Nothobranchius furzeri: one gene and its partners. The protein of the gene in region 3 interacts with the protein of the main gene of each other region in a pairwise test. Links are inferred from orthologs where the notes say so. Each region holds a gene or a part of one and is shown on either strand. Other genes may lie near its edges.

Evidence for each region.
Region 1: the proteins of htt (region 3) and ppa2 interact in binary tests that used the Homo sapiens proteins (3 or more experiments, as listed by UniProt). The link is inferred for Nothobranchius furzeri from reciprocal best matches to the Homo sapiens genes HTT and PPA2.
Region 2: the proteins of htt (region 3) and mbd4 interact in binary tests that used the Homo sapiens proteins (3 or more experiments, as listed by UniProt). The link is inferred for Nothobranchius furzeri from reciprocal best matches to the Homo sapiens genes HTT and MBD4.
Region 4: the proteins of htt (region 3) and trafd1 interact in binary tests that used the Homo sapiens proteins (3 or more experiments, as listed by UniProt). The link is inferred for Nothobranchius furzeri from reciprocal best matches to the Homo sapiens genes HTT and TRAFD1.
Region 5: the proteins of htt (region 3) and zfyve19 interact in binary tests that used the Homo sapiens proteins (3 or more experiments, as listed by UniProt). The link is inferred for Nothobranchius furzeri from reciprocal best matches to the Homo sapiens genes HTT and ZFYVE19.
Region 6: the proteins of htt (region 3) and cep63 interact in binary tests that used the Homo sapiens proteins (3 or more experiments, as listed by UniProt). The link is inferred for Nothobranchius furzeri from reciprocal best matches to the Homo sapiens genes HTT and CEP63.
Region 7: the proteins of htt (region 3) and ercc6l interact in binary tests that used the Homo sapiens proteins (3 or more experiments, as listed by UniProt). The link is inferred for Nothobranchius furzeri from reciprocal best matches to the Homo sapiens genes HTT and ERCC6L.

The regions. Positions count from the first base shown.
Region 1 is NC_091746.1:80,712,818-80,714,881, forward strand, and holds the end of ppa2 (inorganic pyrophosphatase 2, mitochondrial), read left to right. Parts: intron 1-554; coding exon 555-682; intron 683-787; coding exon 788-873; intron 874-958; coding exon 959-1,028; intron 1,029-1,110; coding exon 1,111-1,150; intron 1,151-1,234; coding exon 1,235-1,257; 3' UTR 1,258-1,564; downstream 1,565-2,064.
Region 2 is NC_091755.1:54,388,487-54,392,722, forward strand, and holds the start of mbd4 (methyl-CpG-binding domain protein 4), read right to left. Parts: upstream 2,801-4,236; 5' UTR 2,578-2,800; coding exon 2,459-2,577; intron 2,389-2,458; coding exon 1,661-2,388; intron 685-1,660; coding exon 619-684; intron 524-618; coding exon 389-523; intron 312-388; coding exon 162-311; intron 77-161; coding exon 1-76. Other genes in the region: ift122 (intraflagellar transport protein 122 homolog), read left to right, coding at 3,631-3,671. UniProt on the Homo sapiens protein: Mismatch-specific DNA N-glycosylase involved in DNA repair. Has thymine glycosylase activity and is specific for G:T mismatches within methylated and unmethylated CpG sites. Can also remove uracil or 5-fluorouracil in G:U mismatches. Has no lyase activity.
Region 3 is NC_091746.1:25,505,601-25,509,100, reverse strand, and holds part of htt (huntingtin), read right to left. Parts: intron 2,539-3,500; coding exon 2,418-2,538; intron 2,074-2,417; coding exon 2,014-2,073; intron 1,923-2,013; coding exon 1,843-1,922; intron 220-1,842; coding exon 81-219; intron 1-80.
Region 4 is NC_091757.1:46,521,896-46,525,912, reverse strand, and holds the start of trafd1 (TRAF-type zinc finger domain-containing protein 1), read left to right. Parts: upstream 1-1,217; 5' UTR 1,218-1,226; coding exon 1,227-1,367; intron 1,368-1,869; coding exon 1,870-1,925; intron 1,926-2,015; coding exon 2,016-2,151; intron 2,152-3,014; coding exon 3,015-3,068; intron 3,069-3,222; coding exon 3,223-3,658; intron 3,659-3,739; coding exon 3,740-4,017. UniProt on the Homo sapiens protein: Negative feedback regulator that controls excessive innate immune responses. Regulates both Toll-like receptor 4 (TLR4) and DDX58/RIG1-like helicases (RLH) pathways.
Region 5 is NC_091758.1:34,203,342-34,207,278, forward strand, and holds the start of zfyve19 (abscission/NoCut checkpoint regulator), read right to left. Parts: upstream 2,801-3,937; 5' UTR 2,660-2,800; coding exon 2,606-2,659; intron 2,510-2,605; coding exon 2,388-2,509; intron 2,304-2,387; coding exon 2,247-2,303; intron 2,171-2,246; coding exon 2,004-2,170; intron 1,928-2,003; coding exon 1,761-1,927; intron 810-1,760; coding exon 701-809; intron 601-700; coding exon 388-600; intron 270-387; coding exon 193-269; intron 38-192; coding exon 1-37. Other genes in the region: bub1bb (mitotic checkpoint serine/threonine-protein kinase BUB1 beta), read left to right, coding at 3,603-3,745, 3,846-3,905. UniProt on the Homo sapiens protein: Key regulator of abscission step in cytokinesis: part of the cytokinesis checkpoint, a process required to delay abscission to prevent both premature resolution of intercellular chromosome bridges and accumulation of DNA damage.
Region 6 is NC_091756.1:60,715,228-60,719,189, forward strand, and holds the start of cep63 (centrosomal protein of 63 kDa), read left to right. Parts: upstream 1-1,162; 5' UTR 1,163-1,315; coding exon 1,316-1,356; intron 1,357-1,456; coding exon 1,457-1,634; intron 1,635-3,194; coding exon 3,195-3,290; intron 3,291-3,369; coding exon 3,370-3,459; intron 3,460-3,528; coding exon 3,529-3,633; intron 3,634-3,744; coding exon 3,745-3,918; intron 3,919-3,962. UniProt on the Homo sapiens protein: Required for normal spindle assembly.
Region 7 is NC_091750.1:36,677,206-36,681,179, forward strand, and holds the start of ercc6l (DNA excision repair protein ERCC-6-like), read right to left. Parts: upstream 2,801-3,974; 5' UTR 2,694-2,800; coding exon 2,641-2,693; intron 1,744-2,640; coding exon 1,681-1,743; intron 1-1,680. UniProt on the Homo sapiens protein: DNA helicase that acts as a tension sensor that associates with catenated DNA which is stretched under tension until it is resolved during anaphase. Functions as ATP-dependent DNA translocase. Can promote Holliday junction branch migration (in vitro).

The DNA of each region.
Region 1 (2,064 bases), about 55 Mb from region 3:
CTAGCTTTTATATTAGCTATCGACACAGTAAACAGTTACTGCCGTAAAACAGGCAGAGAGCTCCCCCTAGTGTACCTATCCGAACCACAAAACTGTCAAGTGCAGTTTCTGGTTAGCTGAGTGCTGTCCAATGTAAAGTTGGTCTAGTTTCTGCTTCAAGAATCACTGAAACCAGTTAGAAAGCAATAACGTGTGGAAAAACTAGTGTTGCTTTAACGTAACTGTACAACTTTAATTTCAAACCCATCTGGCTGCACACTTAACGGCTAGCTAAAAGGTACATGGCAGATCGTCATAATGGATGTGTTTGCTCAACAATAAACACCAGGTGGAGTTTTTATTGTCAACATGGTTTTGTTTATATTCCTCTCTTCAGACAGATCATAAGACCTTGTTTTTTGCCCAGCAAGCGTGTTTCTTAATCTAAACCTGTGTTTAACCCACCTATCCTTTCTGCTGCTTAAAGCACAACTATAAAGTTGATTGTTTTTATATACAAAGTTGCGTAAAAACTTTCTAGTTTCTTACTGTTTTTAATGCCGTTTGCATCTCAGGTATAGAAGACGTCCGCAAGAGCCGACCAGGTCATTTAGAGGCCACCGTTGACTGGTTTAGGAAATATAAAGTGCCTGATGGAAAGCCTGAGAACCAGTTTGGGTTTGATGGACAGTTCAAAGACAAGGTTGGCCCCCGTATAATAACTAATAAAACACGTCCGTTTGTGGTGAAGCTGAACTGACAGAAGTGAGTAGACCCAAAGGTGAAATCTGTTGCTCTCTGCTGGCAGGACTTTGCAGTTGAGATCATTAAATCCACCCATGAGCACTGGAAGGCGCTTATACAGAAGCAAACGAATGGTGGAGAAATTGAATGGTGAGTGAAAGGAAGAAACAAACACCTGCTGCATGTTTTATTTTTGACTGCAGCAAACTCGGCTAACTTCTTTTTTGTTTTTCAGTAAAAACGTGTCTTGCTGTGACAGCCCTTTCAAATGCAGCCATGCTGATGCCACAGCGGTCGTCCAGAAGGTGAGAAGTTTGTTACCAAACACAATAAAAGCTTTCAAATCGGAACCGAGATTCGAGTCATTCACATAATGATTTGGTCCAGGCTCCTGCTCCTGGTAGTGCACGTCCTGTATCTTCAGAAGGTAAGCGTGCATTAACCTTGGATCAGCTGTAGTCATTCGCCAGCATTTAATACTCTAACAGATTGTGTTTCACACCTGACACAGTGGACAAGTGGCACTTTGTGTGAAGATCCTGGAGCCAAGACTGAATGTGGAGTGAAGAATCACGAATCATCAATGCAGCTGGATTTATTTTTTATAAACACTCCTTTCTGTCATAAAGTTTCAACTGGAACTATGTGATGGGGACAGAGCTAATACCCCCCCATGTGGACAAAATGAGCTAGTGCAGACGTGTGCTGCAGTAATGGTGTGTGCTGGAGTTCAGCTTGGTGGGATTCTTTGGTGTTAGTTGTACAAAAAAGAAAACTCCCAAAGTGAATCTGCCAATGTTTTTGAAATTATACATTTATGGGCTCATTTGGCCACTTTGGAGTGTGCTTCTGTGTAAAGAGTTATAGTGTCTACCATCTACCAGTTTCTGGAGAAATGATTTTTTTTGGTCCGGCAGGATAGGTGAGCCAACTGCTAGTCTGAGCGACGTCAAGATCAAAGTGTGTTGATGCGAGCTGAAAGCAGCCCCAGTCTCCAAAACATCTGTGCTTTAAGAAGATGTTTACATAAATCCTTGCTCTGCTGTCATAATCTGACATTTTGCAGCTGCTGGTGATCAATATTCCTGTAAACACCCACAGAATTACATGTAAATTATCATGTAATGCTAAACCGATGGCTGTGTAAAAGTTTTTAGGAGAACATGGCAATTTCAGCCGTTACACTAACGTTTTAGAATAGCTCATCAGTCCTGTGTGACTGAACCCAGTTTGGGAAGCCGTCTATAACAGGTAGGATCACAATTAGACCCAACTTTTACACAAACACATTTCAAAGTGGTTAAAATGTTTCTAAACTTTGCTTTTAGAATCCTATAACAA
Region 2 (4,236 bases), on a different chromosome or scaffold from region 3:
CTGTAGGAGTCGTTGCCATACTTGCCGATGCCATGCAGCTCAATAGGATAACGCCACTGTTTGTTCAGATATTCATCTGCAGGAGAGAAGAGAGCTAAAAACATGCACGCGTCACAGGGTAGAAGCACCAGAAGTGGACAACGTAAACCAACAACACACACCTGAGAATCGGATGATTGTTTTGGCCCGGAGTTCATACAGCCCAAGTGGCCTCATGAGGTCAGACATGGGCTTCCAGTCGGCCTCCCTGGCCACCTCCGCTGATGGGTAGCGCTCATAGAACTGCCATAGCACTGGAATGGCCATCTTACCTGTAATAATTAAATGCTTTGGTACCGACTCAAGTTCATCACTCAGAAGGTGGAAACGTGCTGCGGTGCAGTCCTACCGCTGGTCTTATTCAGAAAAATAGTGGCAACCAGGAGCTTCCAAGGGTCATGGAAAAGGGTTTCCTGTATGAGGTTGAAGGGAGATCGAGGGGGTGTCCATTTCCTAAAAGCCTTTCTCCTGGGTGGGCTGAGTCCTGAGTAGAGAAAATAAACATTTCTCTAAACAACAAACATAACTGACTCTGATATGAGCGACTTTCTAAACTCAAATGGCTTCTTTAAACTATACCTTCTCGGAGAGGTTTCTTGCTAAAATAAGGGCTTGTTCTCCACTTGTTCTCCAAACTCTTAGACTCTATAATCAGACAGCAAGCTTTTAATAAACCAATCCGTCACAAAGACATTAGGAGGTTTTCAAAAACACAACCTGAACTTAAATCTGTGACTTATTTAAATATTGTTGCAGACACAAACAAAAGTAATGTTTTCACTGACAATCTCTGTATTTGTGATGGTCAATCGTGTAATCCAACAAATTGTGGAGATCTTTGTACGGTGCAGCTCCTGGATGGGTCTAAGATATCCACATCCTTATATCTCGTCTCTACCTCGTCCTCTTTGTTGGTTAAGCTAAAGTCAGGGTGCTTTTCTGACAGCTTCTAGGATCCTTTTTACATGTTTGAGTCTGCGGCGGACTCTTCCTGGGCAGCTTTCCCAGCTCATGCAGCAGGAAGTTAACCCACTCTAAGAGCAGCATCATGCGTCTCAGTAGGAGACCAAAAATTCTAATCATTCAGTAAAAGTTTTGGTTTTGTTCTGATGAAATAATCACAGTTCTCTCTGCAGATGCCAAAGACTCAGTTGGTTCTAATGGATATGATCTACCCTTGCTTGAAGAGACGCCATTTTTCCTGAATGAACCTTTAATGCATACTGTCAACATCCTACTCATTACCAATTAATCTGCAAGAAACTTTCAGAAAAGGGAAACTTGTATATTCTTCAATGTTTTCTTTCCTTCCAATTGTACTGGTCTGCAGGCTTTTCTGGAGCCAGCCTTGAACCTGATCAGGCACATTAGGCTTCTAATGCGTTGGTGTCTGAAGAACTGGAGCCCTATCATGGCCTTTTAGTAAAGAAATCAGTTTTCGTCAGTTATCGTTTTGTCAAACTGATGCATTGTTTATTCTTCTTGAAACTAAATTAGAAGACGAACTTGAAATCTAAAATGAAATATGTTATTAGTGCAACTGGTATTTTCATCATAATAAAGTACAAATTCTGATTCATAAGGTCTTCTTATGGCGTCGGACTGTGTGGATAACACTTACTATTCCTGGGTGTGCTGCTCCTGGTGATGCTGTCAGGTAACAACACCTCCGTCTCCTCTTCCTCGTGACTGTCAGCATCACCCGCCACTTCAGAATTAGACTTGTCACCTTCGCTGTGATTCGGTGTAACATCTGTGTCTGGTGCACTCTCGCCATCATTCATGCTCTCAGCTTCAGCATTCAGAGCTAGGGCTGAAGGCTGCAGCTCTGCCAGTTTGTTTTCGTGAAGAGGGAAGGAGTTTTGTTGATTTCTGGCAGGAGCAAGTCTGAGTATCTTGTCTCTCAGCAGCCCTGTTCTCTGATTGCTCCAATGTGCATCATCCACTAACTGTGATGGTGCAACATGTGAGCAGCTCTGCACAGACTCTTTACGTTTATCTTCGCAAACCTTTTCTATATCTGTAGAGATCTCTGGAAAATTATTGCACAACAAGTCATTCTCTACAATCTTTACTACAGTGTCCTTAGCTTTACTTCTGTAGGAGGAAGAGTGTCTTTTAGATTTACGTGAGGGAGTGTTCAGATATTCATCAATCTTCTCCTTACACCCACCTGCTCCCTTTTGCTCCCCTCTCTTCTGCTTTTCTTCAGAATGAAGTGATGATGAGCTAGGTAACTCATCTCTGGATGTAGTAAAATCAAAAAAGTTCATGTCCAGGTTTACTCCTCCACCTTTTAACAGGAATGCATGCAAGGATGCTCTTGAGCGGAATTTCTGCCCTGCAGGACTTAAATAACAGAAACATTATTTAGACATGATCTAGGATTAAATATCAGGGTGGAGAAAAAATAAGATACCTTGTTATGTAAACATCCAATTTTCCTGCTGTCTTGCCTGTTCTTCTCTGCCTCACTTCTCTAATCCACCCATGGGGCATTGGGTCACACGGTTCCTCCTTGGGGCTTTTAACATCCATTCTGCCGCTGAGCTCCTTTTCACAGTATGATGCACTTAATATATAGTTGAGTCAATGATGAAATTTGGGTTGTAGAAGAGCCGCGTTTCTTGTCATCTTTGCCTTTAATTTGCAGCAGTAACACATACAGCAGATAAAAAAAAAACTCACCGTGTTATTTAGAAAGTATCACCAGCCACCATTGATATTAGTTTATTTAGCCAAATAGGAGTCTGTAGTGTGCATACTGCTTGTTTCCCGATGTAAACATTTGAGCGGAACTAGTTTTGCAGGCATGCAGGAAGTGGATCCGCTCCTTTTCTAGCGGGTTAGCGGGTTGGAAGTCCTGACGGGCGAAGATGATATACGTGCATTAGAAATATATATATAACAGGAATAAATACGCTTTCTGTTCATTGTGGGGGATGCGAGGAGATGAAGCTACTTCTGTCTTGTACTTCTGGGTTCTGCGTGGGGTGGGTTTTACAAACTCCGCCTACGCGGAGCAACTCTACGGTAGCCGGCAATTTAATGGTGCTGACCTACAAATCACCAGACATGCTGCATTTGTGTCCCAACGAAAATCGGACCTAGCGGCAAAACCTTTGCTACTCTTTAATCGGGCCAACACTACGAGCGAAGAACAACACATTTTTCTGCATTGGATGTCTTCTAACACTGTATGAATATGTTCACCAACAGGGCTTGTATGTTACTGCGTGCGACTAATTATTAATACGATGGAAGCCGATAAAATATCAAATAAGTTTATTTATTTAACATTTAATGTTATATTTAGCCTGGATTATTGAGTATTGAGGTCGTTACTTTTCAGAAGTCCCACATTTTGAACTGTATTTCTAAATTTCAATGTTTTTTTATATTTTGTTTGGTTGGTATTTGGTTATTTTTTCTACATGAATCCAAGAAATCCCGACCTCTGAGAAGATCTGGAACAAACCACGAGTTTGCGCAGTGTGACCAAATCCTTCCATTGAAGAAAAAAAAAGACGAGCTGTAATAGCTACTTGTTGATTCAAAAATATTTTGAACGATGTGCAATTATAGGTGAAGATGAGGGCGAATCACTCATGGACAGCTTCAGTTCGTGAACGGTAAGTGGTGGCAAGAGTATTATTATGTTATCCTTCAGATAAAGCTAGCTCATTAGCTGGGTAGCAACCTAGCAACGGTGGTTGCTATGTAAACTAGAGGAAGCCTGCTAACACTTAGCCCTCCAGCCATTCTTTTTTTTTATTTAAAAAAATATGTATTTTATCTCGCTGTATATTAGTTATAAAACATATTTTTTCTAATAATGTAACGCGACCTCTCGGGTCGGGTGAAACGTTACTGTTAAGTAAGCTAGCTTATGATGTTTCGACTCACTTGACCGCAGTTCTTCGATGCTACAACTAGTATATGAAACATTTTTACCGGATTATGCTGCCAGTGTTTATTTACAGAAAGCTTTGTGTTTGTGGAATATTAAAAAATCGTAAGATTATTGTTTTAATTGTTTTTGTTGTGTGGTCCTCCTAGCCACCAGCTTCGACTCTAACAGCGTCTAACTTGTTCTTTTATTATTTTTGATCAGTCTGATTCTGCTTGTGAATCTGCAAAAACTTTTTTGACCAAGGGGATTCAGTTCTATTGTTAAAAGACATGCAATCAATTTCA
Region 3 (3,500 bases):
CGGTCTGACCGCACAGACGGATACTTCGCCAAGAGGCCAACACATAACTCTGACAAAACACACAAGTGGGCGGGGCGCACCTTGACTTCGCCGTCGTTGGCGAAATGTCCCAAGGCTGACATGATCTTGGGCACCGCTGCAGCCAGAGTCTCCTGAACCATTTCCTCCTGCCGTTTGGTGATTCTGGTGAGGCATGGGAGCAGGTTGACCAGGTACGGTCTGCAGCGCAGAGAGAAGCACAATCAGGTTGTGATGTATTTGAGTCGGAGACAACACTGAACGTGACTAGTCGCTGCCACGGTGGCTACACGAGGAGTTCTCAGCCACATTTTAACAAAACAAGTTTAGTCGTTAAACAAGTTTTAGGGATTCGACAGAAGAAAAACTACAAATAAAACTCTAAAAACTGGAATCTGGAGAAAAAGTCCATTCATGTAAGTAATTCAGCTCAGACTGAGAGACCATCTAAAGGCTCAGGAACCCTCTGCAGGTGTTCTGGATTCATCAGCTGATTAGACCGTGACACTTAAGAGTCTAGAACATTGAACAATATTCTGATTGCTGGAGATTTTGAATGTGGGGTTTTCATCAGCTGTAACCATTATCATCACAGATGGAACAGATAAAAGCCAAAACATCTGGATTTGCATGAACCGAGTCAGTCTCTGATTAGTTTTACCTTTTAGGTTGTTTTACTGACATAAATTAACTTCTGCACCAGATTCTGATCGTTTCATTTTCACCTGGCTCTCAGCAACGCAGCTTAAATCATCCAGCCCATTGTTTTACGTAAACCTAGAAGACCATGTTTAAAGGTGCATCATGTAGAAATGAAGTAAAAATGACATCCTGTGGTAAAATGTGGTTACTGCAGCCACGTTAAAGAGCAAGTCACCCCCAAATCAACATTTTTTTTCCCGATAAACTATATAAACGTGTGTCTAATCGTGCTGCAGACACGTGTAGTCAATAGTTTTGCACTTTAGTGCATTTTAGTTAAAATTCTAATTTTCTGCCTGAAACTGGCAGTGTTGTGCCGTTGTCAGGTAAAAAGTCTGCACTGCATTTGAATTTAAATCTGCCACTGCTATTGGCTAAGAGGTATGCTATGATGTAAACTGGTACATTATGATGTCACAATGTCGTGAGTGTGTGTATTTGTTAGTGGCTCCACCCTCTCGGTCTGCTAGGCAACAGCATTTGTTGCGCTTTTCAAACATGAAGTGGGAGTGAAGTACGCTTCTTGTAGGGGGTGACTTGCTCTTTAAAATTCAAATGTTCTGCCTAAAACCGTCAGTGTTGTGCCGTTGTCAGGTAAAAACTCTGCACTGCATTTGAATTTAAATCTGCCATCGCTATTGGCTAAGAGGTACCCTAGAATGTTAGCTGGTACCATATGATGTCACAAAGTCGTTGTGAGCCTGTGTGTGTATTTGTTAGCGGCTCCGCCCTCTCGGTCTGCTAGGCAACAGCATTTGTTGCATTTAACAAACAGGAAGTGGGAGCGGAGTAAGACTCTGGTAGGGGGTGACTTGCTCTTTAAACAACTCTGGAGCTTTTTGCCGGCCGTCGTCGGCGCTGCAGCATTAGCTCGGCAACGCCACACTCACTGATGTAAAGCAGTTACGTCCCTCCTTCCTTTGTATTGAAAGGAGAAAATCTGACAATTCCCACAGCCAGCTGGATATGAAACATGTTTCAGTTTAACCTTCCTGCCAACATGACTGAAACAGACTCTTATGGGATTTTCACACTAACATTCTCACTATAATCTTACATACTGCACCTTTAACGTTCAGCCATCTGAATATGACGACATAACAGGAACATTTAGACAGCTACCTGCATTTCTGTGGTCGGATGAGATGAGCGAGCTCAGCAAACCTCCACAAAGCTGCTCTTAGACTCCGAGAGGCACCGTTCTGTTGAGCCGTGAAAAACAAATGACAACGCTTGTCGTTATTTACTAGATCACAAACTAAACTCGGGGTACTGTAGAAACCTGCAAGCGACCTTTTTGATTTCTTTGTACAGCTCCAGCTGCAGTCTGGGCAGGTTTGAGTCCATCAGAGCCTGAAGAGTTAAAACAAGCACTGGTTCAACAACGAAAACAAACAGAAATCCTCACAGAGATCGTTTTATAACAACTAAACTGTTTTCTGTTCATTAAAATCAAAAGTTTCCTTTAATGCAAAAATTAGGAGAAAACCCCTCAAAACTACTTGAGGCGAAGCTTTTCCCTCGACCCCAACTCTCGACGTCTGTGCTGATGGGAAACATGGAGGGCCAGATTTAATGCAAACTGCGACATAAACGCGAGTCTGCCGACAACAAGCCAGTCAGTCAGATAAAAAGTCCAACACCGTCGAATCAAAGCCAACTTTAAAGTGGGAGGAGTCTTGCAGGTTTTTGCTCACTTTGATGATTTTGTTCAGGCACTCGTCAGCTACCATCCGCACATCTGATTCACCGTCGTCGCTGCAGAGAAGGAACATCTCCATGGCGATGCCGAGCAGCTTCTGGAACTCTGGAGATGTTCTGTTTGCAGGATCACACACAGCAAACATCAGGATTGGCATAACACGCCTGAGCCCTTTTCAGATTGGCATTCTGGAACATGTGTGGACAATTCAGTCCGGTTTTTAAGCAGGACTGTGTTTTCAGACACACCACTTTTGTACCTGAACTTGTCCTTTCAGCTGCCTTCACACAGCAGGGAAAAGTTCCAGATGTCTGAGGGGGAGGGGGTGGGAAGGCTGGACCCGGATATTGCGTAAACATGGTGCGGCGGGCGTACATGCGTCATTTACCCAAACAAAGCTATTCATTCAAACATGGCCGACGAAGAGCTAGAATTCCTCTCACTGGTCGGACTTATGTTAAGCATAATTCTGCACACATGAAGACGAGACCTGGATGATGAAGCTCAATGGTTAATAAAGGAATCACGGAAGCGGTGTGAAGCGCTCCGTCTCGCGCCTAGGAGACGGTACCGTAGGAGGCGAGCTGCCATGGATCACCGCAGGCTACAGGAGCGAGCCATCTAGGTGCGCACAGCGCCTCCCGGTCCCCTCCCTGTCCGGAACTCGACCTCACCAGTCTGAAGCAGCTAACCTGTCCGTGACAAGTCCGGTCCTGTTACTAGGGGCTTCGTCCGGTTTAATTACGGAAAAGGTTATCCGGATGTTTGTATTCAGACACAAAGGTCTTAAGGACAGAGTCCCGAACATTTCCGTTTTTCATGGCCTGTCTGAAGGGGGCTCTGGAGACGTAAATCTCATTTTTATGACATGAAAGTCACCGTTAATAGACCCTTTTACTACCTACGTCATCAAAAGTTGCGCGCGCAGCCGGGCAACGAGAGTGAAGGCTTCCTCATTCACACTCGATACTAAAACAGCGTTTTAAACCCTTTGTTTTGAAGTTCTGAGCACATAAAAATGTCGGGTTGTTGCGTGTATATTATTACCAATTAATTAAGAAATAATACATTCAATGTG
Region 4 (4,017 bases), on a different chromosome or scaffold from region 3:
TCCTAAAACTGAACCTTGTGGTACCCCACAGGAAAGGAACAGAGGATGACACAAGATCAACAAGGCTAAAGCAAAAAATAAACCATCTAAACCGCTCCACTACTCCAGACATTGATCATTTCAGTCCATTGTGTCAAAAGCTGCTTTAAGAGCTAGTAGTGCAAAACTCATAGAATCGCCAACATTTGTGTTTGTGTAAATATTAATTTGCCCCAAAAATATTTACATCATAACATTTGTGCAAAATCAATATTAGGTTTAGCTCCAAAACAATATTTAACTGGGATCTAAATATTAATTTTGGAAGATAAATATTTAATTAGAAGCTAAAAAATTAGTTTGTAAACTAAACATTTAGTTCCAAATTGAATATTTAGTTAGTAAATTAAATAATGATTTTACAAACTAAATATTTAGATCTGGCCTAAGTATTTAGTTTGTAAAACTAAATATTTTGCTTGCTAACTAAATGTTTTGTTAGAAACTTTTAACATTTATAAATGCATGAATAAAATGTTGAAAATTTAATTTTGAAATTTTACTCCCATTTTTTCCTTATGATAGGCTATGTAACCATAAATACTGCTGTTAAATTATGAATTTACAAGTGGCCCCCCATAAACTACATCATCTGGAGACCTTCAGCTGATGGTGGTTCAGTCACAGGCTCATTTAATCTTGAGAAAGTTTTTACAAGCTTTACTAAAAAAGATCACCAAAAGCAGTATGGTTTCAAATAAGACTCTGTGATGGGGAGAATGTAACTTGGAAATCTCAGAAAAATATTTTTTCTGGATTTCTAGGACTATGAAGCTGACACATTGTTCTTTAAAATGGGAAGTGGCAGCAGTAATTTGCTATTTGTTCCTAAAAAATTAAAGTATCATATACACTGTGTATAGATTACTACAGCATTTTTAAGCTGTAAAGTATATTTTAAAGCATTCTCGAATAATCATGACAAATTTTTAGAGGAACGAATATTTGGGGAGCATCGGTATCACCCGAAACATTTCATGGCGCACTGCTTTTACCCAACCAATCAAATTGGAGCGTGGACAAATTGTTTTTCCCTGAGTTAGGGTTTACAGGAAAATTTTATCTTAAACTCTTTAAAAATCATGGCTGAGTAATTTTTAGATACAACTTCACATTCAAATCAATTGTCTTTTAACCCATTAACATTATTTTACATTGTTGTTATAAAGTTTGGTTTGACTGTTCTGATGCCAATGCTGCACCCTGAAAGACAATACACTGGGTTTAGATTTTCTCTAGCGGAAAGACCGAGGAACGAACAGTTTTTCCACTCGAGTTCTCGTCAGGAAGTCTTCTGTCGTTTGTTAAAATTTACTACTTGGCCACTGGTAACCTCAAAATGACCGTATTTTGTGTTCTTGTGGGAAGAAGTCTCGAATCCTTCAGTTTCGCTAGCTTAGCGGCTTTGTTGCTGCTTTGTTAACTGTTGGATTTTAGCTAAAGACAATGAAGCTATTATAACTCTGAAGTCGTTAAAGTGTTTGTTGATCATCTAACAAAGAATCACCGCTTTATTATGGACCGTTTTCTATCTGCTAGCATTAGTTACATTCCTTTTAAATAATGATCGAGTAAAGCGAAAGCGCAGTTTCATTTGCTGAGTCAGACATCTGCATTGTACACTCACGGAGCATTTTTCCCATGAATTAAAACAAGCAGCTCATTAGCGCTCTGACACTAAATACAAACAGCTGAATTAACTGATTCAACGTTTCACATCTGATGCAGCATCAAATAATGTTTAATTACTATCTAATACTAAACGTAGCTTCTTTAAAACCAGTTTACCCTGAAAAGCTGGTTTGTGTGATTAATAATTCTGCTTTTTAGTTTACAGCCTTTAGGACAGTCATGGCAGATGAAAACACACTCTTTTGTGGTAATTGGTAAGTATGACTATATCTTATGATCATTAATGTATTTCATAGCCTATATGTATGTTTGTTTTAAATCAAATCTGTTGTTGTTTTGTTTAGTAAGAGAGACATTCCTGAGGCAAATTTTACCACCCATGAGATTCACTGTCGAAGAAACATCGCCCTCTGTGACGTGTGCCAGGAGCCGGTGCCTCACTCAGATCTTCTGGAGCACAAGATTCAAGAGCACACTCGGGTACATCTGAACAAAACATCTAAAACCTTCACGTTATAGAATATAATAATATCATAATGTTAATGATGTAACCAATTTACATTAATATCACAATATACATCGACATGTGACATGTTTGTATTTATTACTGAAGGTCTTAACCTTAAAAAAAAACAAGGATTTAACAAAAATGTTTTCTTTGTGTCTTTTTCTGAGAGTCACTAATAGTCCTGATAGGGTAGCCTTGTATACATTTACAGTATGGGGAATTTTATCTGAGATTTTTTTTACTTCCCAAGTAATTTTCTGCGTGAATTACCCATCAAGCCAACAGTAGCTTAATTTCCAATGAAAACCACTAATTAGAAAGCAACATCATACTGAAACTGTATGATTATTACTAGGGGGTAAGACCGATATATCGGGCCAATATTTACAGTTTTTTTTAATGTATTGGCATCGGCCGATATTTGTCCTAAGTAGAGCCGATTCAAAGTTAGGCGCATCCTCGGGCAGCTCGTGGTGTTGCAAAATTTAATTTAAATGTGTTTTTACGTTCACTAAAAACATCTGCATAATAAATGCTCTAAGTTAACTTTATTTTTAACACTGAGCAGTGCACAAAGTTAAGATTGAGCACTTAGTTAAATTCAGAGTTCATAAACCGGTTCAGCTTCAGAAGGTTTGTGCATCAACTGATGTTGTTAGGAACATTTTAGTATGAAAATAAGGTGGATATCTTCTGGATATCAGCCATGAAAATCGGCAGTACATATTGGCCATCGGCTGACCGTGTCCTACATATCGGCATTGGTTATAGAACAAACAATATTGGTCAACCTCTAGTTTGTTACTTCAAACATTTTTTTAATCTTTTGCTTCAGATTATGTGCAAGTGTGGATTGAAGATTGAGAAGAATTTTCTAGATGTACATCAGGTACAGTGAAGATTAATGTCCTACATACCATATTGCTACTCAGCCAAAGGGTTGTGGAAACTGTGGAAAATGTTATTTAACTGCAGGAAGAAGCTGTAAAACACTGGCTTCTTCTATTTAACCTTCATATTTCTATTGTCTGTCTGTTTTGCAGAGCTCTGAGTGTCTTCAGCGGCTCGTCCCATGCCAGTACTGCGAACTGGAGCTTGTTTTCGGTCAGTCCAAAGAGCACGAGGATTATTGTGGAGCGCGCACCGAGCCTTGCCCACAATGCAATTGCAACGTGATGCTACGAGAACAAACCGTGCACTCAGTCATATGTGGAAGCCTCACACCGCCCCAAGAGAGAAACAACAGCAAGACGAGTTGCAGTCAAGCAGAGCAACCACCTTCAGATGCGTGGCTTGAAACACACTCCATCCGAAATCTCCTGAGAACCCAAGACAGAGGTTTTAAAAATAATAACATCAGTGCAGCAGAACAGCAATGCTTTCCTCAACCATTTGAACCCCCAGGTTTCAACCCTTCAAGAGGATTTCTGCCCTCTGGAGACGGGAAGAATGCTTCTCAGAAAACATCATTTAGCCGCTGTGAGTGTGTTTTAATTCAAGAGTATCAGTCGGCATGTAAACTTGTATTTTCTGAAATGTTTGTGTGATTATATTTTTTAGTCTTGGAGCAGAGTGATTTTCTGAGTGGAAGCAGCAGAGCATGGCTACCAAACGCATGCACAGAGGACGAGGATTCATCAGGTCTCGACTACATGTTGGCTCTCAGCCTGCAGTGTGATGGAGACTCAGTGGCTGGAGGCGCTGAGGGGAACGTGTGGCGTGATCCCTGGGACCAAAAGATCGAGAAGTCCAACACATCTGTAAAATCTTCACTTTCTGAGTCCAACTACAACCATCCAGTCTTCAGTGGAGGGACAAACACGAGTGCTGTCCAGGCC
Region 5 (3,937 bases), on a different chromosome or scaffold from region 3:
ACCCACTAGCTTCGTCGAGTGCAGCTTCTTCTGAGAGCTGGAGCCAACCAAGAACAGGAAGTTCAGAGCATGCCAGTTGTCATTACCAGTTATTAAACGGCCTAACAGCAGCCTCTTGTGGCAGCCATTAAAAGGTCTAAAACAGTAAACCACAACATGTGGGTGTAGTGATAAATGTGTCGTCTCCCTGACCTGTTTTAGCACTCTCCTCACAGCTTCTTCCTCAGTCTCCTCTTCACTGTCAGGTTGTTGGAAATCCTCTGCAGTGACTAAGTGTGCAACACCAAAATGTCAGCTAATGAAAATGTGAATATCAACAGTTCTGTCATAGCTGCAGCGATGATCTCGTGACTGAGAGAAGGTGGGTGTGGAAACAGCTCTGAGCACCTTTATTTGGATCCTGGCCCTTTAACTGGGCCAGCCTCTTGGCCATGTCGAGGATTTGATCCTGGGTATGTCGCTCGTTCCTCAGCTCATTCATGGCCTCCTCCAGTAGACGCTCTTTCTCTGCCTCCAGCTGTTTGACTGCTCCCTGGTTGTCCTCCATGTTCTCATCCAACGTAGCCCCCTCCCCCTTGTTCAGATCATTCATATCTATGCCTGCAAGACAGTGTTTGCTGTACTTAGACGGGGATTTCTGCCTTTTAAAGCTTGTTGAAACAGGTTTTTTGGTAACACATTAACCCTTGTGATCACTAACTGAGTTCAGGATTTGATTGTTGGTTGTCAATGGCAACTTCCTCCGTCAGCTGGGTTAACAAGTCACTGGCTTTTTCAGTCTGAGTCCGGGTATCAGGAGGTTGGTGCACCTGCACACACACACACACACACACACACACACACACACACACACACACACACACACACACACACACACACACACACACACACACACACACACACACACACACACACACACACACGAACATGTAAGTTAATTAAAAACCATTACATTGAATTATTCAACACTTTAAAATACGACCAGTGTTCGGCAAATTACTTTGAAAAAGTAATTACTATAGTTACTACAAAAAGTAACTGAGTCAGTAATGGAATGACAATGCAATAAAAGTTTCTAATTACCAGGAAAATAAGTATTTCGTTACTTTTTCTAAATAAATTATGCAAGAAAATTAGCAGCACATGTAAGATTGTTTCCATCCCTTTAGCTCCTGGTCACATGATGTCAGCTTCAACACACCTTGCTGCTGAATTATAGTAGCGTGCTACATTTTCTTGTCAGTATTGGAAACAACGTAATTAATTTGATCATACGTTACTAAAGAACTCTGTTAGCAACACATTTAATTCAATGCCATTTTTCCAACCACTGAATATGGCTGAGCTGCATAAGGAGTACAATTTTTTTTATATTTTCCCACCTTTAATTTAACAGGTAAAATGTTTGAGAGTAAATTTTCATTTACAAACAACAACAACAATTATAGAAAACTGGGGCAGCAGTAGCTCAACAGGATGAGCGGGTTGTCCAGTAATCGGAAGGTTGCAGGTTCGATCCCCGCTCTGGACTGAGAATTCTGCTGTTGTGTCCTTGGGCAGGACACTAAACCCACCTTGCCTGCTGGTGGTGGTCGGAGGGTGTGGTGTGGCTACATCAGTAAAGATGTGAATGTTTGTGTGAATGGATGAATCATACACTGTAGTGTAAAGCGCTTTGGAGTCCTTACTCAGAGTGGCCCTATATACAAGTGTGGGCCATTTATCATTATCATGATAGAAGAAATTAGAGGAAAACTCACAGGAGCAGGAGCTTGAGATGGTGGAGGATGACTTCGCAGAGCAGCCAGACGATTCTCCATCTCCTCTGTAGAAGGAACAGGTTGGATGGGGACTCTCAGAGCAGCAAGGCGTGACTCGATTTCCTTCTCTGAAGGAATGGACCCTGAAGAAATGATTAAAAAGCAATCTATTGCTTTGCATTAAAAGATCCTGTTTAGCATTTTTCAGATTTATTTTAAATGCTTGATGATTAAATTCATTACTAGGTTTAGTGTCCTCTTTCAGCTTTTGAAGTCTCTCAGCAATAGCTTGGTCTTCTTTACTCAGGCCTTTTGCTGGTAGATGGCCTACTTTGCTGTTTCTGCTTCCCCCGTGTACGGCAGGTTGAGTCGACTGTCCTTGCTGTTTTGCCTCCAGCGCAGCAACTCGTCTGTGGAAAAAACAGAACTTTAGATAGTATGAAACTTCTGTAACGGCCTCTTTGTCAAACGTGGTCAAACACTAACTTTTTGTAATTTTCTGGAGGAGACCATCTTCCAGCATTGTGTGAAGAAGTCTCCCCTCTAAAAATAAAAAGGATAAAATAGGTTTTAGATAATTAAAGGAAAATAATTAATTTGGGGTTTATTGTGTCGGGTGAGGTTTACCTTGTCAAATTACCATGGCACTGCTTGCAGACCTTCTGCTGGGTGTTACCACAGCGAGGCACCACAGCATTAAAAGTCAAACAGCTGGAGCAGAAGGCTCGTCCACAGCTCTTACAGCCCAGCTATCATAGAAGTCAGCACAATCCAGATATTAACCACGTGTCCACAAACACACGAACGCGTACATATTTATTGCTGATTTATTAGTAAATCCATACCTCTTTCTTGAAGAGACTAAACTTTGATGCACAACAATAACAGCGACTGTCCATGCTGTCACGTGTAGCGTCATGAAACCGTAAGATTACAATTTACGTAATTCCAACAGGTGAAGAAAAGCGCTAAAGCAATAATAATTTCTGAATTAGCTATCTGTTTTCAGCTTGTCAACGATGCATTATCAAAACAGGAACTAAACCGGAAATGATGTATGAAGTAGTTGGCATTTTTCCTGTTATGTATTTCCTCCAATCAGCTATCTCCAAATCCTCTCGCGGGATTTGTTTAAAAGACAGGTCTCCATTTCAACGTTGTCCCTGTTTCATCGTTAGCTGCAAGTAATCGGCGAAGGAGACAAAGAAACTCTAAAAGTGGTATGAAAACACACAGTTAGTCGATTAATGTTAACGCTATACTAGTTTTAACTGGAAAATCTTTATGTATTGGGATAATTGACACGGCTAAGCAACAAATAACTAGCTAACGTGTTAGCTTATTGTGTTTTTGTAGCTAACTTTTTAGCATCGTGAAAGTTTCTGTTATCTAATTCAGGATTTGCTTATTTCATCCATATTATTTTACTTTTTACTTCTTTGTGTTTGCATTTTTGAAAACAATAAAATATTTAAAATTGGTTTTATGTATTGCTTTGGAATTAAGAGTCATAATTGTAAACATTAAAAAGAAAGATTGTAAAATGCATTGAAAGAAGAGTGCTTGCTTTTGGGCTTTGAGCAGAAATGAACTGCATTGGTTTTATTGTAGAGTATTTGCTCACGTGCAACGTAATTTACTAGGTTTACAAATATGTTCAAGCTTTTGTGCAAATTTACTCTAGAGTATCAGCAACAGTCTGCACCAGATACTTCATTCTTACAAGTTTGTGTGTGTGTGTGTGTTTTTCCCTCAGATGTTGGTGCATAAACTAAGTATAATTAGTACTGAATTATTGAATGATGTGTTTTCTCCTGCAGTTCACCGGTCTTTATTTCCACAATGGCAGAAGGAGAAGATGTGGATTGGGAGCTTAGCAAAGAAAACATCCAGCCGCTGAGGCGGGGCAGAGCAATATCAGCTTTACATCAGGCCCTCAGTCAGCAGCAAGATGGACCCACATCTGCAATCAACCAACAGAGACAGTAAGATAATCCATTAAACTTTAGTATTTCTAAAATAATTGGAACATCTTTTGTATGTAGTTTAAAATATAATGCACTTTTTGCTCTTTTGCTTCTTTAGGGCCTTTGAGTCTGAGCTTCGAATGTACGATGGAGACGATCCACTTCATGTTTGGGATTGGTGAGTTAAATATTTAAAAATATTGTCTTAAA
Region 6 (3,962 bases), on a different chromosome or scaffold from region 3:
AAACAGCCATGGTCAGATAATAGTTTGTAATAAAACAGATTACTTACAGGTGATGTGTGTATCTGCGGTGTTTTCTTTTAGGTTTGTGCAGCTCGGTGTCTGTGCTGTGAATGATGTCAGAGAGCAGCTTGCCTGCCTCCTGCTAGAGCGTCTGTTGCGTTGGTGGGGGCGAAACAGCCAAAAGCCCTCCCATGAACAGCTGGGGATGCAGAGCGGAGGAAACGCTCTTTGTTTAGTTTGAATGAAGGCAGGTGGAGAGATGGGTGAGGAAGGGGGAGTGGTAAAGGAGGGGTTGATGAACGTTCCAAAGTAGGTGATGTGTTTTGCTTTTTCCTTAACCATAACACATCCTGATAAAATGTTTCTCAAAAGACATATAAAGAAAACTTAGCACATCTGGGAATTGAACCCGGAGTCTCTCGCATTCAATATGAGAATCATACCCCTCTACCAACAAAATGCTGATGTGTTAAAGGAACATATGTATATTGTAGGTAATAAATGTTTCATGTTTTCTTGACATTTGTGCTGTTGAAGCATCGGTTCACGATGACACCTTGCTCGCGGGATTGCGGTAAAAACGGAAAAGCTATCATGATATCCCTCTTCCCTAGCCATGGCCAAGCAGATAATTTATACAACACTCACGCAGCGACACAGCGACCAATATGTTCGGACAGCAGACCGCCGAATTTTCAAATCACATTCTAAATGACCATGCTAAAAATTATGGGCTCGTCCGGGATTTGAACCCGGGACCTCTCGCACCCGAAGCGAGAATCATACCCCTAGACCAACGAGCCACGTGTCCGGGAAAGACACATAAAATAATTTAAAGTTAATTTAAAGTGATATGTAGTTTTTCTGTAAATGTACTGTTTTAAAAGTATTATTGTATTTTTACACACTATAATAGAATGTCTAATTTCATGGAATTTCAGACGTACCTTCACGTTACACGACATCTGAATCTTAAGCCGTGAGATTAATGTGTTTGTTTTTTCTTTAATTTTCCCTCCCAAACCTTATTTTTAAAGTCGAAGACCAAATAATAAATTACATTTTTTAAAATGTTGCCTACGTAAAACGTAATGAGGTCACAGTTAGAAGGCGGATGTACCGCCTTGGAACCGGAAATTCTTTGTAAAGAAAAGCAGTTGAACGCCGAATAGTGTTGTTGACGTAGCGATGTCATCAAACTTGTTTATACTCTACAACGTGCCGGTCTTAGCTTGTAAGGACAATCTGGATAGAGTCCACCGTGTTGTAGCACCTTAGCGCGCAGAGGGGACAGACGGCGCCATTTTTGAACGAGATGGAGGTTTCTTTGGAATCAATACAGAATCCTGATATAAGGTAACAGACGTTTGGTTTGTCGTGAGGCTAAGTCAGCCATCTTTAGATGCGTGTTTACACAAATGAAGTTGATAACACGCTTTAATCTTCTGCTACGCAGCTCTGTCCTGTCCTCATGCGAGCCTGAGCTGCAGGAGCTGATGAGACAGATTGACATTATGATCAATCATCAGAAGAGGGAGTGGGAGGCTGAGCTCCACGCTCTGCAGCTCAGGGTCACCAGTGGAGAAGAAGAGCTTTTAACCTCCAAGACTACCATTGAACGGAGGGATCTGGAGGTGAAGTGACGATTCATCCTTTTTTGCTCAAAAGAATCACAAAAGTAATTTAATCAACACAGAAGCTTGTAATAAAAAAGCAAGCATGCCCTTATTTTGACATGCAGCATTTTGAAGGTAACATTTTTCCATCCCATTTCCAATTCCAAACATGGACTCTCCTGCTAAAACAGTTTTTATGGCCACTGTCTCCATTTCTGGCCTCACCTAATGTTGGAGACTTACTAAATTATTCCTTAAATGATCAGAAAGCCTCTGCTATGAAGATTCGTTGTACTCTCAAAACAAAACCTCCTGCAGATTCAATTAAATGTTTCAAAAATAAATGTAAATGTGTGAGGATGTTGGTTTTAGGACATGTTTTAAACCGTAAGGAAGGAGACAGTAAATAGTTGTGGCATGAAGCATTTTATCTCTATTCCCATAATAACACCATCACCTATTCAATCAATCAATCAAACTTTATTTCAGACAAGGGATATGTCCATAACAAGAATAAAAAAAATAAAAAATAAATAAAAAAATAAAATACAAACACATTCTAATTACAAACCATATAGGCAGTTGCTCCAATGTTTAAAAAGGACTGAGGAGTACCTCGTGTCACTGTAAGATAAAGATGACAGAGCTCTAACAACCGCGTTAGCTGACAAACTCAGTCGGCAGATGAATTTGTACATGAAGAGCCTCAGAAGCGCATGAAAAGTTGGGATGTTACTCGTAACAAACATGTGACTTGCCGAAGTCCATCTAGGGAGCTTCATGAGGATTCTAAAAGCATCCTGATAAGCCACTTGAAGCTTCTTCATTACTACCTTACTATAGTTGCACCACAAGTGGGCGGTATAGAGAGGAGTACAAAAGGAACGAAAGAGGGACACTTTTACAGGATCTGAGCACATGCCAAAGTTACGTGCCAGAGTGTTAGCCTGCATGTACAGCTTACCACACTGCCTCTTAATGTCCTCGTCATCACAGAGGTCACTTCTTAAAATGTGCCCCAAATATTTTACTTTGCTTACCACTTCCAGGACCTGATTTGTTAAGTTAAAAGATGGAAAATTAAGCTTCAGGTCCCCTTTAGTAGCAGCAATCATAACCACACTCTTTTTAGGGTTAAACAGGATGTCAAATTGCTCACCATACTTAGCACATGCCCTGAGCAGCTGCTGCAGGCCTGCGCTATAGGGAGACATGAGGACTAGGTCATCTGCATATATTAAATGATTTACCAGTCGGTCACCCACCAAGCATCCAGTCTTACTAGCATTCAGAGTAACAGACAACTCGTCAAGGTACAGGTTAAAAAGGACAGGTGACAGAATCCCGCCTTGTCTGACTCCATTTGATACGGAGAAAGGTTCAGACACTTCTGTCCCCCACTTTACCTGCATCAGTTGATGAGAGTACCAGAAGTGCAAAATCCTAACTAGGTAAGAAGGGACCCCTCTGTTTTGTAGCTTGATGAATAATTTCTGATGATTGACTCTGTCAAAGGCCTTAGAGGCATCTAAAAAACACATAAAAACAGAAGTATTATGCCTCATGTATTTGTTGCAGATTGGACTTCTTCACAAGCAGCTTGAAGCCGTTCAGACGGATCGGCAAGAGTTGGTATCCAAGTACGAACAACAACTAAAGAGACTCCGTGAAGAGGTGTGATCATCTGTTTTTCCTCAAATGCACTCAGCTATATCGCTTGTATCATGTTTATTGTTAACATCGTTTCTTATAGTTGGACAAGTTGAAGAGAAGTTACCAGAAGCTTCATCGCAAACAGCTTAAGGAGACAAGTGGAGGTGGAAAGGAGACTGAGCTTGCAAAGGTGAACTAATAGATTTTCCTGGCATTTCCATCTCCTGGAATTTGATTAATCGTTCTTACATTGGTGCAGAAGCATCAGCAGCGCTCTGAGCAGCAGCGAACTCGGTACCAAAACCAGCTGACCACACTGGAGCTCCAGAATAAAAGCCTGAACCAGGAGCTTGCTCACTTAAAGGTTAAAAAGCACATTTATGACTTTCACTCAGGAAGCCAGACATATTTAGTGTATAAAAGTGTGGAAGACTGCTGCATTGTTGTTGCATTTCAGTAATATTTGTTTTTCCAGAGCCAATGGGCATCGGGGCGGGTGGAGAGGGAACACAAGGAGTGCTGTTCAGAGGTGCAGCATCTGCGTGCACAGCTGGAGAAGGCTCAGGCCAGCCTGCACTCACAGGAACTGGAACTGGATCGCCTCAGACCGCTGGAGGTGCTGTTGGGACAGTCCCAGAGAGAGCAGCAGGTTAGCAGGGCGACAGGAACATGTGAGATGTGTGGCTTCTCAGC
Region 7 (3,974 bases), on a different chromosome or scaffold from region 3:
ACAGCCGACAAAGGTTTATGATGGGTCAGTCCTCCTGCATGCTCAGATCATTCCCTTCCCTTGCTTGAAAAATTGTTCCAAAATGAAAGTTGAACCCACATCTTTTTTATCTGTGAATTCAATGCCGTTTGGCGAGTCTCAAATAAAAATTTGGGCATCTTACTGTAAAAAAATATACCATTAATGTAAAAAAGAAACTCTAAATAAACTATGTTCACACCCAGAATCAAACCCAGGTCTTCTGCATGAGAGTCAGACATCTTACTAGGTGAGCTAAAGCACCAGTGATGTCCTTTGTATCTGTAACATTTATATCCTTGATGACAGATGAAACAACGTCAAACCAAAGAACGGTTCGGAGTGAAAATGGCTATTTTGTTGCTAATTTGCAGGAAATATCTAGAAGAAAGTTCTACAGAAAGTAGCTAAGGGTCCTCAGAAATGTAGCTAGCTTTGTCACTAGGCGTTAGGAACAGCGACAAAGTGGCACTGCCTCTCTCTCTGCTGCTAAAGCTACGGATAGCAAACGCTACGGGCGATGCCTGAGCGTGAACGCGCATGAAGCAGCCTGCTCGACCCGAGCATCTCTCTTTTTCTGTGATTTTACAGAAAAACAGGCAATCACAGTAAAAAATGCCAGAGCTCATTCTACAGGACCAGGGCATTGCAGGAGAACGTATGAAGAAGACATTTATTATTTCTATACATGTTTGGCTGTCAAACTTCCATAATGCCCCTTTAAGGTCTAACGATCAGTTGCTACTTTCTGTTCCTTTTGCTCGCACACAGTTAGGAAAGAGAGCCTTCGCCTGCTCTGCTCCTTCTGCTTGGAACCAGCTGCAGAAATCCTGGAAAATGACCGAGCAGGTTTCACTAAATGCCTTCAAAACCAAACTGACAGCTTCAGAGACCGCATTAGTAACTTGTAACTGCTTTTAATGATTGAGTGTTTTATCATTGTCATTTTGTTAACTGGAATTTTTGCTGCCTCTTGGCCAGGGCTCCCTTGTAAAAGAGGTTCTTAACCTCAATGGGTCTCTATCCTCGTTAAATAAAGGTTAAATAAAAATAAAAATAAAGGTTCTTTAGCAGTTCAGACTAAATGATTTACAGTAAAAACATAAATTAGTAAATCTGCATCAAGTTGGCTAATAGAACCAGGAAACGAGTCACAGAATCACCAATTTGTAGCACATTTATGTAAATTAACATTTTCTCTTAGTGATAGTTTTCATTTATTCCACGCTCTTTATCTAAACATGAAAATAAAACATGTTACTGAATCAAGGACGCATTTTCAGAGCTAAAATTCAGCTTCCTATCAAACTGTTATTGATGTTTTTGAACATTTCATCCAACTTAAAGAGTTCGTTTACATGCTGATCACAAATGTGTCATCTAAATCAGTAACAACTTTTATCAGGAAGAGCAAAATGATTCGTAAACAATAAGAAAATAAATGAATACTAGTTGTGCTCACAGTGTATTTATTATTTCCTAAAATAAAGAATAAGTTTATGAGTGTATGTTTGAGCGTGGGGGCTAAAAACACCCACACACAAGATAATTACAGACTTGAGAGAAAACTGCTGGTTTTATTTCTAGTCCTTCAGTTACTCAGCTCATCAGATATGAAGGAATTTCATCATAATCAAAAACAGATGATTGTGTGTGAGATACCTGGTATACTTCTCCATCATCTTGTCCTCTGCGTGGTTGTCCTCTGCGTGGATGGACAGAGATCTGGACAGAAAAATCTATGTTAGAAATTCAGAAGATAGATCTCAACTTTACTGAGCAAGACCAAACACGTTCAGATTTCAGATTTATTGGCCAAGTAAAATTACATTTACAAGGAATTTAGCTTCGGTAGATGTTCGCTCTCTAACACATACAACAACTACAATAAATGAGAATAAAAATACATGAAAAACACATAAGAACACGTATACCCACACACATGTTCATTTACACACACACATATATACATATGTATACACACACACACACACACTCATATCCATAAGCATACTGAATAAGCATTAAAACCTATAATAAAAAGATGGTAAAAGAATCTACAGATTCAGGAGAGAAATGGCTGAATGAAAGAAACTGTTCTTGTGTCTGATAGTTTTTGTGTACAGCGATCTATCGCGTCTGCCAGATGGGAGGAGATGGAAGAGAGTAGATGCAGGATGTGTGGCATCTTGGACAATATTCACTGCCTTTTTCCTGGTCCTGCTGATGTACAGTTCCTGGACAGAGGGCAGCTGGGCACCAATGATTTTTCCTGCTGTTTTAATAATACGCTGTAGTCTGCATTTGTCCATTTTTGTGGCTGACCCAAACCAGACAGTGATGGATGAGCAAAGTATGGATTCCACTGCAGCAGTGTAAAAGATGATCAGCAGCTCTTGTAGTAGGCCGTACTTCCTTAGTTGCCGTAAGAAATACATCCTCTGCTGAGCCTGCTCCTTTGCCCGTCTCAACGGGCTCAGTATTGCTGTAAACCTTGGCTTGTAAAATTGGAGAAATAACTAAGAATTGATGTTACGGAAACGCATGTGAGTTCAAACGCCTTTAGCAGCTAGCTAGCTAGTTTGGTAAACGCTCTTGTAAATGCACCGTAAGCTCACTTACTTTTCGAGTCTGTCAGAAACATGAGAAACCTGTTCATCGTGACGAGAGTCCATTTTGTTACTTTTCTGCTAGTCCGTTGTAATAATACAGCAATAAACTCTACGCAGATGTTTGCATTTATATCTTCTCGGATTTCTCCGCCATTTTTTATAGCCAATCAGAGACCACGCTGTGATCCCATATCCGGTTACGCTGTCCAATCACAAAAACGACTGGGCAGAACTTAGTTACGTAATTTCCGACTTGGAAATTCTGATGACAACGTACGACTGAATTCAAATTCAGCCAAGAACGAGAAGGTGTTTAACAGTTTGATGTAATAAGCTTAATGGTTCACCAGCTATTAAATCATTTTGGTGCTTTAATAGAATTCTGTTATTTAAATTTTTAACATCTAATACATTTTGGCATGTTTTGAATCTACAGTTGCAGTTAAACATTCCTCCTGTAGAGGGCGATGTCTCAAAAACTGTAAAAGGAAAGGCAGCTTTGTTTGTACAGCACATTTCATACACAAGAGTAATTCAGTGTGCTTAATTAGCAAGAATAGTAAGAACATTAAAAATCATCAAGCCAGAAAGTACACACAAACTAATTTTTGATTTAAAAATTAAAAGAAAGGGACTTAACTAAAGGGTGAAATTTACAATGATTATACAAAAAATATGTATAAAACTACAGCCTAGAGGTACTTTTATGAAGTGTCGAGAATGCATAACTGTCAAGTACACAGGTGGCAGGTACGGCCAGTCACACGTTGGCAAGTATCAGCAGAGCCAACAGATGAGCTTATGGATGGTTCTGATAGGAAGCAGGCTTCAAAACAAGCGGTTGTATTCCACTTGGTCCTAGTGCTCAATCAGTGTCTACTTAATATAGCGTAATATATTTTTGGGATGGTAAAAGTGCAGGGACCCCCCCCCCCCCCCCCACACACACACACACACACACACCAATCGGGCATCTGATTAGGATGCCTCCTGAACGCCTCCTGAGGTTTTCTGGGCATGTGCAACTGGGAGGAGACCCAAGGGAAGACCAGGACACGTTGGAGGGACTTTGTCTCTCAACTGGCCAGGGAACGCCTTGTGGTTCCCCCGGAAGAGCTGGGCTAAGTAACTAGAGAGAGGGAAGTCTAGGCATCTCTCGGCTTAGGCTGCTGCTCCCGCGACCCGACTCTGGATAAGCGGTTGAGAATGGATGGATGGAGGAGGTGGATGCCAGAGGAGCGCAGGGTTCATATGGTAAAAGTAGGTCTGAGAGATAAGAGGGCTGAAGACCATTAAGACCCTTAAAAACAATTAGGAGTACCTAAATATCCAAACAAGAATACA